Linked DNA regions of Tribolium castaneum. The protein of the gene in region 1 purifies or fractionates together with the protein of each later gene. This does not show direct contact. Links are inferred from orthologs where the notes say so. Each region holds a gene or a part of one and is shown in the gene's direction. Other genes may lie near its edges.

The links. The genes of interacting proteins can lie anywhere in the genome.
Region 2: the proteins of 14-3-3epsilon (region 1) and NELF-B purify together in Homo sapiens (affinity purification with mass spectrometry; 3 studies listed by BioGRID and IntAct, with this or other methods). This does not show direct contact. The link is inferred for Tribolium castaneum from reciprocal best matches to the Homo sapiens genes YWHAE and NELFB.
Region 3: the proteins of 14-3-3epsilon (region 1) and partitioning defective 3 homolog B purify together in Homo sapiens (affinity purification with mass spectrometry; 3 studies listed by BioGRID and IntAct, with this or other methods). This does not show direct contact. The link is inferred for Tribolium castaneum from reciprocal best matches to the Homo sapiens genes YWHAE and PARD3.
Region 4: the proteins of 14-3-3epsilon (region 1) and Unc-115a purify together in Homo sapiens (affinity purification with mass spectrometry; 3 studies listed by BioGRID and IntAct, with this or other methods). This does not show direct contact. The link is inferred for Tribolium castaneum from reciprocal best matches to the Homo sapiens genes YWHAE and ABLIM1.

Annotation. Positions count from the first base shown.
Region 1 is NC_087401.1:11,229,210-11,233,216, reverse strand, and holds the start of 14-3-3epsilon (14-3-3 protein epsilon), read left to right. Parts: upstream 1-1,207; 5' UTR 1,208-1,310; coding exon 1,311-1,374; intron 1,375-4,007. UniProt on the Homo sapiens protein: Adapter protein implicated in the regulation of a large spectrum of both general and specialized signaling pathways. Binds to a large number of partners, usually by recognition of a phosphoserine or phosphothreonine motif.
Region 2 is NC_087394.1:30,669,130-30,673,207, reverse strand, and holds the start of NELF-B (negative elongation factor B), read left to right. Parts: upstream 1-1,278; 5' UTR 1,279-1,448; coding exon 1,449-1,565; intron 1,566-1,621; coding exon 1,622-1,720; intron 1,721-3,101; coding exon 3,102-3,893; intron 3,894-3,907; exon of another isoform or gene 3,908-3,947; coding exon 3,948-4,078. Other genes in the region: uncharacterized protein dikar, read right to left, coding at 1-538, 597-685, 756-783. UniProt on the Homo sapiens protein: Essential component of the NELF complex, a complex that negatively regulates the elongation of transcription by RNA polymerase II.
Region 3 is NC_087395.1:16,345,604-16,349,651, reverse strand, and holds the start of partitioning defective 3 homolog B, read left to right. Parts: upstream 1-1,248; 5' UTR 1,249-1,400; intron 1,401-4,048. UniProt on the Homo sapiens protein: Adapter protein involved in asymmetrical cell division and cell polarization processes. Seems to play a central role in the formation of epithelial tight junctions. Targets the phosphatase PTEN to cell junctions.
Region 4 is NC_087395.1:21,870,625-21,874,699, forward strand, and holds the start of Unc-115a (actin-binding LIM protein 3), read left to right. Parts: upstream 1-1,275; 5' UTR 1,276-1,380; coding exon 1,381-1,516; intron 1,517-1,625; exon of another isoform or gene 1,626-1,888; coding exon of another isoform or gene 1,889-1,889; intron 1,890-1,941; coding exon of another isoform or gene 1,942-2,135; intron 2,136-2,185; coding exon of another isoform or gene 2,186-2,895; intron 2,896-2,959; coding exon of another isoform or gene 2,960-3,323; exon of another isoform or gene 3,324-3,363; coding exon of another isoform or gene 3,364-3,797; exon of another isoform or gene 3,798-3,860; coding exon of another isoform or gene 3,861-4,075. Other genes in the region: uncharacterized protein LOC135265312, read left to right, coding at 1,889-1,889, 1,942-2,135, 2,186-2,895, 2,960-3,323; uncharacterized protein LOC135265271, read right to left, coding at 3,364-3,797, 3,861-4,075. UniProt on the Homo sapiens protein: May act as scaffold protein. May play a role in the development of the retina. Has been suggested to play a role in axon guidance.

The DNA of each region.
Region 1 (4,007 bases):
TGTGTAACACATTATTTTTACATATTAAAAAATAACAAGATTTCGCTTTTTCTTTACAGTAATGTCGGAAAAAAAATCTTATTAATTGTATGATTGCCTGTCAATATATAATATAATAAATTTTATTTATTTATTATTATTTTATTTTACAAAAAAATCTCAATCCAAACACCAAAATTAAATCTCATCTGCGGTAAAAAAATACTACATTGCACTTCACTAAGTCATCAAATGGTAGTGACACATTGTTTTCAATTTTTTTGCTTTTTTATGTATTAAATTCTGCAACGATCGTATTATTTGTTCAATTGGAAATAACTTAAACATAGATTATTTTCATAATTTCACATTTTTTTACTTTAATAACCGTTCACAAAATTTCTAGATTATTCACACCTTTTATGTGAAATAATTTTTCCATGGCCAACTGCTTTCAAATATTTTAAATATATTTTTTATCAAAAATATATAAAAATATCAAACTGTATTTATATTATTTTCAGTTTAAAAAAAAATAAGCTTTTCGAAAATGTCATAGCCAACTATGATTTCTATTTAAAGAAATACAACTTTATGTTATTACAGCTAAACGATTTATTAAAAAAATTCACTGATACCATAATTAAATTCTCTATAAAAAAAAGCCATATAACGTCTTTGTTTCAAATGTCTATATTTTATAATAAGGAAGATATAAATTTTTTAACATTTGGCCAAAATATCAACTTTTGTTTATAAGTCGAAAACAAAAAACTATAGCGAGATGCGGTTTTGACCAAAATTATTTTCTCAAAAAGCGGACCGGAAAATGTGTCTTGTTTTTCTCTAAACCTTTTAGTTTCGGAAATCCCCTATTTGTGCATAAATTTTTTATCTGTATTTTTAAGTGGCCTAAATTGTTATTTTTGCTCTACTTCTGTATAAACACACTCAGTTAACACCAAAGTAGCCGTAAAGCGTCTTCTAATCAGTGATTAAAATTTAAACTGGCATTAGTTCGTAAATCTGAGCATCTGATTGGTCCAATTCCCCTGATCTGGAAACGACGCTTCTAAAAACAGTCCCTTATTGTCAATCGAATGCTGTCCATTAGGACGCATAATTTAATTATTGTGGCATGCAGTGTGTGAAAGATAAGCAGGATTAAATAATTATTTATTCAATTTGGCGCCATTGTGACGTGGGCCGGAGGCAGCCGATGTGCGTCCGATCGCGTTCGGGTTTAGTGTGGCGGGCGCGGCCATATTGGCAGTACGTTGAGTGTCTGTGTTTTTTAGTGTTGTGAAATTTCTATCGATAATCATCGCAAAATGTCTGAACGGGAGGATAACGTCTACAAGGCGAAATTGGCAGAACAGGCCGAACGTTACGATGGTGCGTATATTTCCCCCCGATTCGGCCTCCTCCCGGCCCAAACGGCCATCATCTCGGGACGCTCCTCCATTTTCCGCCGCGGGGGTGCCCCGCGCCCGGGCGGCGGCGGGGCTGCGCCCCCGTGTGCATTCCGCGCGGGTGACTCATCGATCGGCGCCCGGCCCCGCAGCCCCCGCCGGAAAAAAGCCAAATGTCAGAATTTTCGCGACACCGGCCCACTGCCTATTGCGTAACTTCCGGTTTTGCACGTGCGTCACGTGATGGGGGTGGCGGATTCTGCCCCCGACCTTGTCCCATTTGCGGCGGAATTTTACGCTGCATTTTTAAAACGGGATTGATTTTTGAGGGCGGCCTGCACAGGGGTCGGGGGTGGCAGCGCGACGGCGGCGGCGAATGCCAATCGATAATCGCAGAGAAGAATGAGGATTTACCGAAATTACCAACAAAAGATGCACGTCGGGGGCGGGTAACTTGACTGCGAAATTTAGGGGGTTTGGGGGGTAAACATTTTATTGAATTATTTGTTCGCTCACGAAACGGCGAGACGTAAAAACGGGAGAGTTCTTGCCTAAATTTTTCATCGCGTCAATTTTTAATACAAACGGTGAATTTTTTACGTTTTACGTTACACAGTTGGCATTTAAAAATCACTAATAAGTACAGTCAGAAGGAGTGAAATTGTCGATACAATGGCCTACTTGTTTTAAAATTTAAATGCAACTAAAGTTATTCAATTTTTAATTTTACAAAATAGAAAGTAAACAAAGTCGATGGTGTTATCACAAACAAACACAAACTGTTGACAGTTTCGTATGTCGTCAAGTCCTTGAACTTAAATTATTGCAACGACGAAATTAGTTTTTTTACTTTGTCAACAGTTAACAAAAAATGCGTCAAAAATGTCACCGGCTTTTACATTCAACATTTGTGAAATATTAATTAAGCCGGAAATGTACCAACATTGCGTTTGGCTGGTGATTCATCCACCTCACCATTTTTGTCGAAGTTGATAGATATCGAAAAAATGTGACAAGTTGCCATGTTTGGACAATTTTATTGCATTTGATTGTACATTGTTTTATAACAGGTTGGATTAGTTTGGACAGTTTTATAGATGTAATTTAATTCCCGGTAATTCACCGAGAAACGATAATTCATTTTTATCAACTGATCGATTCTCTTATCAATAAGGGAAGACTGAGTTGAATGTCCTGTTTAAATTTCAAGTTTGTGTTATGCTCGATGAGTAATCAAATAACGTGATGTAAATGATGAGAAAGTACAAAACGCATTTTAATGAACAAATGTGTTACGAAAGCGAAAAATTCTATTGAAAATTGAAACACCGATTAATAAACGCCTTTGCTCACTGGAAACCAGCCTTCGTTTTTTGAGAAAATAATTTTAAATCTCAACAGAAGTTGACATTTTAGCGAAATCTTAAAAAAATCATATCTTCCTTATTATAAAAGATACACATTTGAAAAAAATACATTATACAGGCACTTTTTTTCAGAGAATCTAATAATGTTATCAGCGATTTTTTTCAACCATTCGTTTAACTGTAATAACATAAAGTTATATTTTTTTTAAATAGGAATCATAGTTGGCAATGACATTTTCGAAAAGCTTATTTTTTTCTGATTTAATGTCTATTTGTGTCATACGTTAAATTTAAATAATTAAGAAAAAACAAAACATTTCGCTTTTTCTTTATAGTTGGCCATGAAAAAATTTTGGATTTGTAATTAAAACTATGAAAATTGTATTACCTAACAGTAATTATAATTTGATGATTTTTTAAACCCTAATTAATTCAAAAACAGCATAATAAATTTTTATTAGATCAAATTTTTGCAATTAATAAAAATTATTTGTTTTTATATAAAATGGCAAGCTTACGTTGTATTTCTACATATTTTCAAATTTTAAACATGCAATGACGGAAGAAGAAAAATCTTATGATTGCGCATCAATAAAATTTTATTTTACAAAAAAATGACAATTCAAACTCCAAAATCAAATTCCACCTGCAGTAAAAAAATATACAACATTATCAATGTCACCTCCATTGCACTTTACTAAATCATAAAAAAGTGACATCAAATGGTAGTGACATATCGTTTGCTATTTTCTGTACATTTTTTATGTAATTAAAATCTGCGACGCTCGTATATTTATTCAATTGAAAATAACTTTAACATAGCTTATTTTGATAATTTCACATTTTTTACTTTAAAAACCGTTCACAAACTTTCTAGATTATTCACACCTTTTATGTGAAATAATTTTTCCATGGCCAACTACTTTAAAAAATTTAAATTTTTTTTATCAAAAATATATAAAAATATCTCACTATATTTATGTTGTTTTGAGTTCAGAAAACAATAAGACAAATAGACATATCAAATCAGAAAAAAATAAGCTTTTCAAAAATGTCATAGTCAACTATGATTCTCATTTAAAAAAAATACAACTTTATGTTATTACAGCTAAACGAATGATTAAAAAAAATTGCTGATAACATTATTAAATTCTTTGGCAAAAAGTGCCTGTATAATGTCTTTGTTTTAAATGTGTATCTTTTATAATAAGGAAGATGTTTTTTTTTTAAGATTTCACTAAAATGTCAA
Region 2 (4,078 bases), on another chromosome or scaffold:
CAGGCAAGAAGTTCTCACTTAAAGTACGATGTAACTCTCTTTCACACTTAGCAGTCGATTTTTTAAATTTCTTGTTAAGTTGAAACCAATCGTCTTCAGTGAAACAAATAACCTGCCACACGGATTTCTTCTTATTATTCTTGGTTTTAAAGTCCTCTCTGTACAGTCTAGTACCGTAAAAATACCAGTAAGCAGATTCGTTACTGTCATAACCCAGGGGCTCAACCCTCAAGCTGTCTGCTTCTAAATTTTTCAGCTGGTCAAGCACATCATCAGCATCTAAACGAAAATCACAGAGTGCATGTAAAATGTCCACTTTTGTTCTCAAAGGTAACAATTGGAAATCAACGTCTGTGTTAAATGGGTTGTATTGATCATGTTCCTGACATTTCTGGCGAAAGAGACGTCTCAGGAACATCTGATAATTGAACGTTGAGATTTCATTGTTCGGCAAGCACCCACTGAGAAGCCTCACGATCAGTTCTTGAAGCCAAGAGGTTTCCTCCGTCCCATCAGTCAAGAGAGCCTCCTCCAAATCCTAGATCAAAGCAAAACGAATCAAAACCCGAACGCAGGAATTGTTTGCGTGGTTTTACCTCGATATCAAAATCCAAAAGGTTAAATGCTGTTCGAAACAATGAACAAAAATGTGCAATGCTTGGAACCTCCCACCATGATTGAATATCTGAAACAACGGCCAGAATTAGGGAAAACAGCACTTGAGAAGCCAAATCGGCGAATTTCCGTAAACACACCTAGGATGCTAATGAAAGTTGGAAACATAACCTATACGGTGATCAATACATGTAACGTTGTTAATTCACATTAATCTCGACGAAACTCCCCAAAAAGCCATGAATTAACGAATTTACGACTCGAACGGCGGATAACCAGCCACATTTAGCGCACTATAGGCCTTTGGGTGTCAAAAAGAATGCCATTTCTTCAACAAGCTTTGATAGGCTTCCCCCAAATCTGCGTACTAGTGCAACCTAGCGTCTATTTCTACGTCACTTAACGTCGTCACACTCGGCGTAATTTACCGCAAAATCACCGTAATTCCGCCAATTGCCCGATATTACACAATGTAAACATGCTCCTAACGCATCGCCGAAAATTCCTGACAACTGTCAGAGTCACTTTGAAAATTCGCCTTTTGAAAAACCGGAAGTTATTAGAATAGTGCTGCTTTTACCGCTTCTTATTGTATTTGACGTCGACCAATCACAGCGCAGCATTTTAAATAGGTGAAAGACCTTTGTTTTGTTTGACGCTTTTGACAGCAAATGGTGTGTTTTTTGACAATATATTTTCATAATGGGTTATGAAAGCTGTGTGTTTATATTTATTGAGATGTGTAATTGTAATCTCTGTGATACTAACACCGAATTTAAGTGATAAACTGCGTCGATTTGATGTTTTACTAGTGTAAGGATTCGTACTGCAAAATGTCTTCATCCAGAAACGATTTCCCTTTGGAAGCCCTCAATATACACGGGCCCACCTTCCTCAAACATGCCTTAACTAGTTGCACTGATCCGCTCAAAGCCATTGAAGAGTTTCAGGTACTTTTTGTCATGATTTTATCCATAGATTTGTAAATAAATTCGCTTTCTTATAGGTTACAAACGGGATACTTTTACCCTCATTACGCCCAATGCTTCCATTACTTGATCTACACGGGGTGAGAAGACTGGATTTTCACATGTCAGTTGTAGAGGTAAAGTATTCTCATTAAATATTAATCCCCTCATTAGTGGCAATGTCTGATGGGTTGGACTTTAAAGTTCACTAGAACTGGCATCAATATATTTGATTTTAAACAAACCATACACAGTAATAATGTTCAATAAGTTTCGTCAGTGAAGGGGAAGGCGTATACCTACCCAAAAATAACAAATAAAGAAAATTAAAACTAAACTATGTTACGGTCAATGTGTAAACTTGGCTAATTTGTACACTAGCTGGTTAGTTTGCAAACTAATAGAAAACCCAGTTTCAACTAAAATAGCTAGATAGTTTATAAACTATCCGATTTTTCTTAGTCATTTTTCTATTGTCTATGTATTTATTTTTTTAATAAAAACCACAGATTCAGTTGTTACGCCTGGCTCATATTTTTTAAGAAATCTTTACAAAACAGGGATTTTTCGAGGGATCATTATACCCCACTCTTTCCTAGTTTTCCTTATTTTTAGCATTAAAATCTGGCTCACATTTTAAAAAGGACATAAAAAATAGGGTATTTTTCATAAAAAATCGACGTTTTAATAGCTAAAGTGGGCTTAAAAACAAGTTATTTTTCCATTTTTGTGTTAAAACGACCTCAATGGGTTGATTTTCAAACTCAACAAATTTCAACGACTAAAACCTGAAAATAATCGTCTCATTTTCCTAAAAATTGATGTTTCAGGAAAATCTGAGTTAGAAAAAAGGGTAAAAGTCAAATTCAACGTTGTTTTTAATGTTTTCATAATAATAATTATGAAATTTAAATTAAATGTTGTTTTGAATGTGATTATTACTCGAGTACATCCCGAAAATCAGATGGTATTTAATGTATCATGGTTTTACTTAATAAGAATTATAAAACTGTTTATAATTGCTTTTATGGTGCAAACTGTATGAAAATGCGCTCAGGAGTTGGTCGATAATGTGACTCATTTTTGGTTGGTGTCTTGTTTCGTTCATTACTCCATAATTTACAACTGGATTTATTGATTTTCAATTAAAATGTATTAACACCGTATTTCCTTATTCAATTGTTGTGATTTTTTTCTGATTGCAGTAATTGTACTTTTTTTAAAAACATTTTATTGTTTTTGGCTTTAAACCGCATTGTTACGAACAAAAGTTTTGTAATAAAACGCAATGTTGGTTTACATTCTATTAGATACATAAATAAACGTGTAATCTCACAAAACCAACTTTGGTAGTAAAACGTCAAAACATAAAGTGTTTTATGTGCCCTCATTCAGGTCCAGCGAGATAAGTTTGCCATTCATGTAGACATAAATTCCATTAGTAAAAAATTCCCGAATAAAGTTCCCAACTCGCTGTATTTATTTCCCTTTAATGAAAAAATTACGATGTTGGTTCAGGAACTCCGAGAGAAACTAATCGCACACATCAATGAAATCGGCAAGCAAGAAGGACGCGAAAGGGACAGGAAGCTGAAAGATTTACTCGTAAAGAGTTTCCCTGTGGTCAAAGTGAAGGCTTTAAGGCCGATAGTGATGGCGATTTTGAAAAACACACCACAGATTGACGACAACTATTTGAAAATATTAGTTAGAGATCGGGAACTGTACAACGACACTGACACAGAAGTCAAACGGCAGATCTGGAAGGACAACCAGTCGCTCTTCGGAGATGAGGTCTCGCCTCTCTTGAGTCAGTACATCAGCGAAAAAGAGAACGTGCTGTTCGATCACACCAACATCAGCACCCAGTTCTTCGGGCCTTCCCCCAAGGTGCGGCGCCAAGGGGAAGTCGTCCAGAAGTTGGCACACATGATTGGAAACAGTGTTAAATTGTACGATATGGTGCTCCAGTTTCTTCGCACTTTGTTTTTGCGGACCCGAAACGTGCATTACTGCACTTTGAGGGCCGAATTATTAATGGCCTTACACGATTTGGAAGTTCAGGATATAATTTCGATAGATCCATGCCATAAATTTACGTGGTGCCTTGATGCCTGCATTAGGGAAAAAAATGTCGACATTAAACGCTCAAGGGAGTTGCAAGGGTTTTTGGATAACGTTAAGAGGGGCCAAGAGCAGGTGCTGGGCGATTTATCAATGACTTTATGCGACCCCTACGCCATTAATTTTTTGGCCACGTCGGCCATAAAAATCCTGCATCATCTCATATACGTAGAAGGGATGCCGAGGGTAAATAATGAGAATTTTCGAAACAAAATTATAATTTTTATACGAATATTTTAGGACAATACGATTTTAATTTTGCTCTTGCGAATGTTGGCTTTGGGTCTAAGTGCCTGGGTCATGATCGACTCCCAAGACTTCAAAGAGCCCAAACTGGACAGTCAGGTCGTTACGAAATTTTTGCCGGCCCT
Region 3 (4,048 bases), on another chromosome or scaffold:
TGTGTATTTATTATTTTTACTGTGCATTTACTATTTTTACTTTGCATCTATCATTTTTACTGTGCATTTATCATTGTTACTGTGCATTTATTATTTTTACTTTGCATCTATCATTTTTGCTGTGCATTTATTATTTTTACTGTGCATTTGTTATTTTTACTGATCAAAAATACTTATCGTTTAAATAAAATACTGTGCATTTAATTTGTACCGCTTATTAATCCGTAATTTGTTCAATCAAGGAAAAACAGTCAATTTTTTATTCGATATTGAATAATAAATAATTTCGTTTTTGTTCATTTTACTGACCTAATTCGTTCAGTTACTCATTTGTGATTTTAATTGTTTAGTAATTTTTTCTTAGAATAAAAATCCTTATTATTCAACCAAGATAAGAGCATATTTTGCGAAATCAGATGATACAGTACAATAAAATTCAAAATGATTCTTCCATGCTATGATTAAATTAAAAAAAAAATTCGTTTTATTCGTTTTCCTTTTGTAAGTTGTTCAAATGGAAGGCATTTCTCTGGTGACACCTTGATACGCTTTTGATACAACACCTATCAGTGGCGTTTTCTCCGTTTCAATTGTTTTCACCCATATTTATGGGTCATTGAAACGTTTCATTGTCGATTTTTTATCTCAAAAAACTGGAACGTGATTTACATTGCACAATAAATCCTCCGATTTGAATTGAAAATCCATTTTATCTCGTAAATGTGACGCAATTAGCCGCGAATGGAAAATGAGGTGTTTGAGATGGGCTTGGCTCTGATAATAATTCGTGTAATATTTAGAGAAACTCGACTTGAATTTTCAGCCACGCACACCTCATCACCAGTAATTTAGCGCAAATATTCCAACTTCCCTATTTGAATACCAAATAGCAGAGGAAGTGTGGAAAAAAGGCGAAATAGCTCAACAACAATGTGCAGGGAGTGGTAAAAGCCGGCATTATCCGACTCAGAAACGTGCAAACATATCTGTAATAACAAGAAATCATTCAAATAACGCCAGACGCATTGTATGCAAACCCAAATCCGAGAGATCCAGCGATCAAGCCCAATTGTTTAAGTTTAAATATTTACGCCGTGATTGCACAAATCCTCAGTAAATTTGCGGTAGGCATAGTTACGATCTTATCAATATTTGCTTATCATTGACGTCCTTGTCCACAATGACGCTCCACCTGCTGCGAATTTTCCAACTTTCATCCCAATGGTAATTAACCTCAGGTAACTTTTGGTTACTTGGAAAGGGAAATTCGTGAGCCCCACCAGTGCAGTCGTTGGTTTGAGCGAGCGCTCGTAGTAGTAAACCTGAAACGCTCAGGTGTGCGGTTGTTTACGTTATTCTAATACACAGTGTTGCAATAAAATAGTGTGGTGTCCTCGGGGGTAAATAGTTGTTTACACCGTTTGATAACAAGGCAGTTTATTGAAGTTTTCAACTGTTACCTAACAATTTTGTAATTGAGTCCAGTTATTTGCTCGTGTGGCTGAGCATTATGAATTTAAGATTTGCTTAATTGCTTTTAAATTAATCGTTGGTTAATTAGTGTTGCAATTTTTGCGAATTGGGGGCCAGTAAAATGAGGAAGTTTAATTTAATTATCACAGAAATCAATCACAGTGACAGTTTACAAACACAAACATTTTTGACTAAAGGTGGTTGTGCTAAATGCGTCTTTTTACGGAGAGAAATCGTCGAGAACAATAAAGCGATTCCCAGGATTGCTTTCAAAAATTGCGATCAAACGGCAACATTATTTTTAAATAGCTGAGGTAGAAACAAATTAAATGCGCGGATAAGATCGGAAAAATCCGCTCCATAATAAGGAAGTGCATTCTGCGGAATGATTGATAATCTCTAATCACACCTAACTGTCCGTTCTTTTATTTCATTTTTATTCAGCGCACATTTTTTCATAATCCCTTTGACCGGATACATGCCATCGTGCATTCGCTGTGATTCGATCCGACAACGGAAAAGCGGTTGACATTTCACGTATTAACACTTAATAACGGAAAAAATCCGCCTAATTGTAGCAATAACGAAACAATAGCGTAATTGCGATAGTCGCGGCATTGTTATGAAATATTTTTGATTGTTGATGAAAGTGGAGAAATTCAAATAAGCACATCTAGAAAGTAATACACGGCTTTAATGGCTTAAGTGTCAAATGGTTCATGTATTTCCAGCAATAAGTGAAGTAGAAATGTAGAAACGCTCGACTTGTCGCTTGAAATTGAAGACGTTTCCAAAGATTTTGCAATTGAATTCCACAGAAGAGATCGGTTTGACCTTTCCGATAATTATTTGATTTTTATTTGTGGTCGAATTGTTTGTTTTGCCGGTTTCACAGTCCCACAGTCTTTAAAAAAGCGTGGCGTTTTCAATTGTACTCCATTTCCTTTGGAACTATGAAAATTCTTCAGTAATTAAGAGTTACATAAGTGCCCAGAACCGTGTCTTTCATTCTCTCATCCGCACCAATGAAAATATGATAATTGAGGGGAGATAAGCGCCTTTTCATCATCTCATTACGATTTTAACGTCCTTCAGTTTTTGCGTCTTCATTTTATTTATCACTTTTTTTAGTCAACTTTTTAAATCTAAATGTTCGATTTAGATTAAAATTGTAAGCTTAGATCGGACACTTATTTTGGAGCGTTTTTAAAGTTAATAACTTTTCGGTCATTTTTTACAAATTCTTACCACAACTGTTACTTACAGAATGGATTATTTAAATTTTAGTTAACTCCACAGGGTGGTTTCAATAATATGTGTTTGTAATATCTTATACTGATGCCTTAAGTTGGTCAGCCCCGTAGTTTTATAAGAATCACCAAGATAATGAGCACAATAATATACAGACTGAACCAAAAGTAACACACAAAAATTCATATTTTTGTTATGAGTCATTTTTCAAAAAATCTTCGAGTAGGTCGATTTCCTTTTTTTACACATTGACATTTCTGACGTCATTCGTTTTTCATTTTTTTAAATGGCAGTTGATATTTTTGATTTGTGATTTAGATAGTACACATTTTTATTTTTCTGGTAAGTACAATGTGTTTTTAAATGATTCTCATCTAGTCGTCTGTGAATTTCCGTTGTAAAATCAGAAATGCCGCTATAAAGAATTAATGACATTTAGACACCGAATATTACCATTCTCCATTTATTAAGTCATTAAGTATTAAGTCAGTGTAACAATTTAGTTGCATTTTAACGAATTTTTTAAAAGTAATTAATTGCCAATTTGTTAATTTCACAACTGACAGTTTTGACATTTATTGACAGAGAATTCAATTGAGAAGAGCGTCGCAATTTTCTTTACGTGTAAACCATTTTCAAAGTTAACTAGATAACAATCATTTAAAAACACATTGTATAACAAAGTTCAAAAAAATAAATAAAAAAAATAAAAAAAGAAGAAAATCAAATAAAAAAGTTATGACAGTTATTATAATATCAAACAAAATCTTTTCGTTCTTGTTTTATTTTGTAAGGTGTTATTGCGTTTTGTTTATTTTTTATGTTTAGGTGTCACATTAAGTGTTCTTATGCTAATTATACAAAAAAAATTCAAAACACATTGTAAAACGAAGGTCAAAAAAAAGAAAATCAGTTGTTGAGAGTATAGCACAAAGAGCTTTTTTATCTTTTCGTTCTTGTTTTATTTTGTAAGGTGTTATTGTGTTTTGTTTATTTTTTGTGTTTAGGTGTCATATTAAGTGTTCTTATGCTAATTATACAAAAGGAAATTTAAAAACACATTGTATAACAAAGTTAAAACTATAAATAAAAAAAATCAAAAAAGAAGAAAATCAAATAAAAAAGTTCTAAAACTTGTTGGTAGTATCCCATAAAGAGCTTTGTCTTTTCGTTCTTATTTTATTTTATAAGGTGTTATTGTATTTATTTATTTTTTGTGTTTAGGTGTCATATTAAGTGTTCTTATGCTAATTATACAAAAGAAGTTTTTAAAAAAATAAATGCCGCATATAAAATAAGTCAGGAACAAAATATAAAGCCCATT
Region 4 (4,075 bases), on another chromosome or scaffold:
TGTGACGAGGAGTCAAGGTTGGAAACTTCAAGGTTTCTCGAGCGTAATTTGCTAAAAAGCAACTGGAAGTTTTGTTGCTGGATGTGTTATGTAACGCCGAGAGTTGCAAAAGTGAGAATAAATGTTATTTTTTCGCAGAGATGATTTATTTGCTGATTAAATTTGTCTCATAGTTTCATCCGAGATTACAAAAGCGTTACATCACTGAAAGGATCTTTCTTGTTAAGTAACTGTGTTTAAATATCAGACACGTTGGTTATTCTGTAACCAAAAGTCTGGGCTTCTGCAAAAGTAAATTGAAAATGACTAAATATACGAGGATGAAAATTCTTCCTTATTTTCTTATAAGGGGAGAGAACACAACATCCTGACTGTCTTAACACCATATTCCAAAACTGTGTTGTTATAAAAAATAAATGGTTGAAATAAACTTGTGAAAGTATAAAAAAACAGAATTGTCGGTTTTTGAGTAAAAATTGTTGAAACATGCTCAGTCAGATCTCATTTCCGTTCCATCTGGAAACTTCCGGAAATTTATGAGTTTATATTTTTTCTGGAATTATTTTCGGACGAAAAACAGTGGAAATCTTCCCGTCTTCTAGGACTAAGCAAAATAAATAAATATCAGAAAATTTTGAACCGATTAAATTTGCTGACAAACAAATATTTTTGAAAAGACTTTGCACTTTATAGATTGGAAAATTCCAGTTTTTGGTTTCTGGTGTTTGAATTAATTTCTTGACGACTTTGTCCTGTCTCCACACATTTTCACTTTTTTTCTGCTTAGGTACTTTCATCGGAAGTACAATAAGTGTCATTCTAATAACTTATGGCATTTCTGGCGAAAGTAAACCGCTCATCATTGTTTAAATTCTCTCTGAGTTACGACCCCGACAATTTTATAAAATCGTTTGTTGATGGATTTGTGTGAATGAACTAGAGCACTATACTTAGTCAGCGATGTACACAAGATCCGCTATTCCTAAAACAAACTTTGATATATTGATAACAAAACCCCACATTCATTGAACTCCCAGCCAAGCAAAACGCCCGTTCCAAATTCGTCGAAACCGCGACAGTTTTATGCACTCGAAAATAGCGCAACCTTCCAGCGATCAATTCCATATTTTTATCCAATCCACGGGCAGCCAAGACATTGGCCGCACTTTTCTCAAAAGGTAAAACTAAAATTACCATCGTGCGTGCAATGAACGGTCAAACATTTGACAATTTAAATTGCTGCACTCACGTCTCTCCACTCCCGTTCGACTCGTTAGTCATCATCATCGGGGCTTCAGTCGGTGCTTTTGCTTTCAGTAGAGAGTTTCCTGCTGTTCGGAGCGCGCAAAGTCGGTACATGTGTAATTAGTGTCGAAAAATATGAAAAGCAAAAACAAAAGCGACGCCAAAGTGGCCAGCGAGCAGCTGATCCTGGCCGAAAAGCCGCCCCTTGACAAGAAAAAGCTGGCCGCCCTCGAGAAAGAGCGCCTCAAAGCCGAAAAGAAGCTGAAAAAAGGTGAGCTCCAAGGTCTGGAATAATAGCACGACGGTGACGTACCGCAACCTTGGATTGTCCAAATAATTCCATTTATTTTTGTGTACTGAAATATTTATTTGTGTCAAAGTTATAATACGCGCTATCAGTCGTGACGTCACCTCCCCACTCTTATTACGGTAGGTCAGTTGCTCAAAGCTAAACAACCAGTCTTTTACATGTGGTGTAATACGTTTTTCGGTTTTTTGGTTGTGTTTGTGCGTTAATAACGTGTCAAATAGCTGCAGCGGGTGTAATTTGTGCCACTAGAGACTTTAATTTAATTTAGAAGTGACTTTTTGTGAAAATACGAACTTTATAAAAGAATACAGGGAACCACGTTGTCGGTGAGAAAGTGAGTAAGCTTTAATTATACTTTGAGAAACTATTATATTTATGCATTTTAGTGGCAGAAAAGCACATTGTTAAGTTTCACTTTATTGCGAAATTTTTTGGGGACGGTAATCGCTTTTTAGTTCGGGGAGAAAATGCTTTTACCAGCGGTCACGTCACCAAATTTAGGTTTGATGGCACAGTACAACCGATGAGAATTTCTGCAGAAGTTCTACCGAGCATGAAAAAGCTAAATTATACTGTGGAGGTTTGTATTTATTTAACTGTTAGACATTTCTTCTACAAAGTGTGTTTTAGATTTCATATGACCTAGAAGAAGGGGTTAAGACGGCACATTGTACCTGCCCAAGGGGCAACGTGGCTTGCCATCATATGGCTGCAGCATTATATTATGCTCATTATAATGTAAGTGCTACTGACATTGAGTGTCAGTGGAGTGCCCCATCAAAAACAACACCACAAACAGAAGTCATTAAGTTAGCTGATGTTTACAAGCCGAAATTATCAAACTATACGGCACTGTCTAGGTCCTCTACTGAGGACGAAATTATTCAGTTCCGTGCCGAAATAGGCGTCACGAATGTGGTGGGCTTCACTTGGCTCCTAAGACCAGAAGCAAGTGAAGAAGCCAGAAAAATTATTGCAGATATCGAAGAAATTCTACAAAGCTTAGAATACGTGCAGGCCATAGACAAACAAAAGTTTCTTTTGGAGAAGTGCAGAATAGATGAGGCACGCATTAAACTGGTTGAGGCGTGCACTCGGGGCCAACATGTTAACGAAAATTGGCATGTAGCAAGGAAACATCGTTTAACGGCCAGCAGGTTTGGCATGGTACTATCTGCTTGCAGTAGACGAAGATTCCCACCCTCTTTATTTAAAAATTTGGCGGAAGGCTATTCGCTTGACAGGGTTGCTGCTGTGCAGTGGGGTAAGACCCACGAGAAGACAGCGCTCAGAGAATTTGAAGAAGCGACGAATCTTAAAGTCCAAGAGACGGGATTTTGGTAGGTCGAAAATAATTAACACGTATAACTTAGATGAATAATGTAATATTACTTTTTTTTGTAGGTTGGAAGAATCAGGCTTTTTGGGAGCAAGTCCTGATGGATTAGTGGAAGAAGATGGGATTCTCGAAATTAAATGCCCATATAAATATAGGGACACTGACAGTTTGTCTGAAGCCCTGAAGGATAAAAAATATTTTTATTGGAGGGATGAAAATGAGGACATTAATCTTAACAGCAATCACAATTATTACCACCAAGTACAGGGGCAAATGCACATCACTGGTCGAAGTATCTGCTACTTTGTCGTGTGGACACCAAAGTGCACAGAGATATTTCAAATTGAAAAAGATCCGGGGTGGTCAGAAAATATCAATATTTTAAAAGAATTTTATCTTGACCAATATATTTCCTTTATTTCACAATAATAAACTGTATATAAATAGATGGTTTTTATTTTACATTATTTTAATCATCACAATCCTGAAACAATTCTGCTACCTCTTTAATTAATGGAAATTGGAGGTTTGTTAAAGCGGCAGTCGCTTTAAAAACAATATCTCCATAGTGGCACAAAGACTCTGGCAAAAAATTTAAAATATGATAACATTTTAATCGGCGTATTGCCCTTTCGACGTGTATTCTTGCACGTGCAATATTTTCGGTACACTTAACTTGCTCTGGTGTAAATTGGACATTTGATAAAAAAGGTGGAATATTCAAAGTGACCCCTGGTGGCAGAATATTTTGGATCAAAAATCCCTTATCGGCTAAAATCATATCTCCAGTTTTTAACATGTCGATTATTCCACAATTTAAAACAACTTTTTGATCAGAAGTTGATCCCACGTATAAATCACTTACAAATGTGATGACACCATTGGGTGCAACTCCAATTAGCCCTTTGAAAGTATTATGATGTTTGTAAGTACTATATGTTAATTTCTGTGTTGACATAGACTTACGTGATACCACAGTGAAAATTTCGGTACAATCTAGAACTGCTCTACAATTAGTAAAATTGCTAAAACATGTTGGCAAGCAAGATTTATTTTTTTCGCGCGAAGGCATTGTCGTCATAAACTGTTTATATAAAATTTCATATATTACATGGACAAATGTTAAAATAATATTAGAAACTGTGCTTTGGGCAACCCCAAAGCGTTGCGCCAAATCAAGT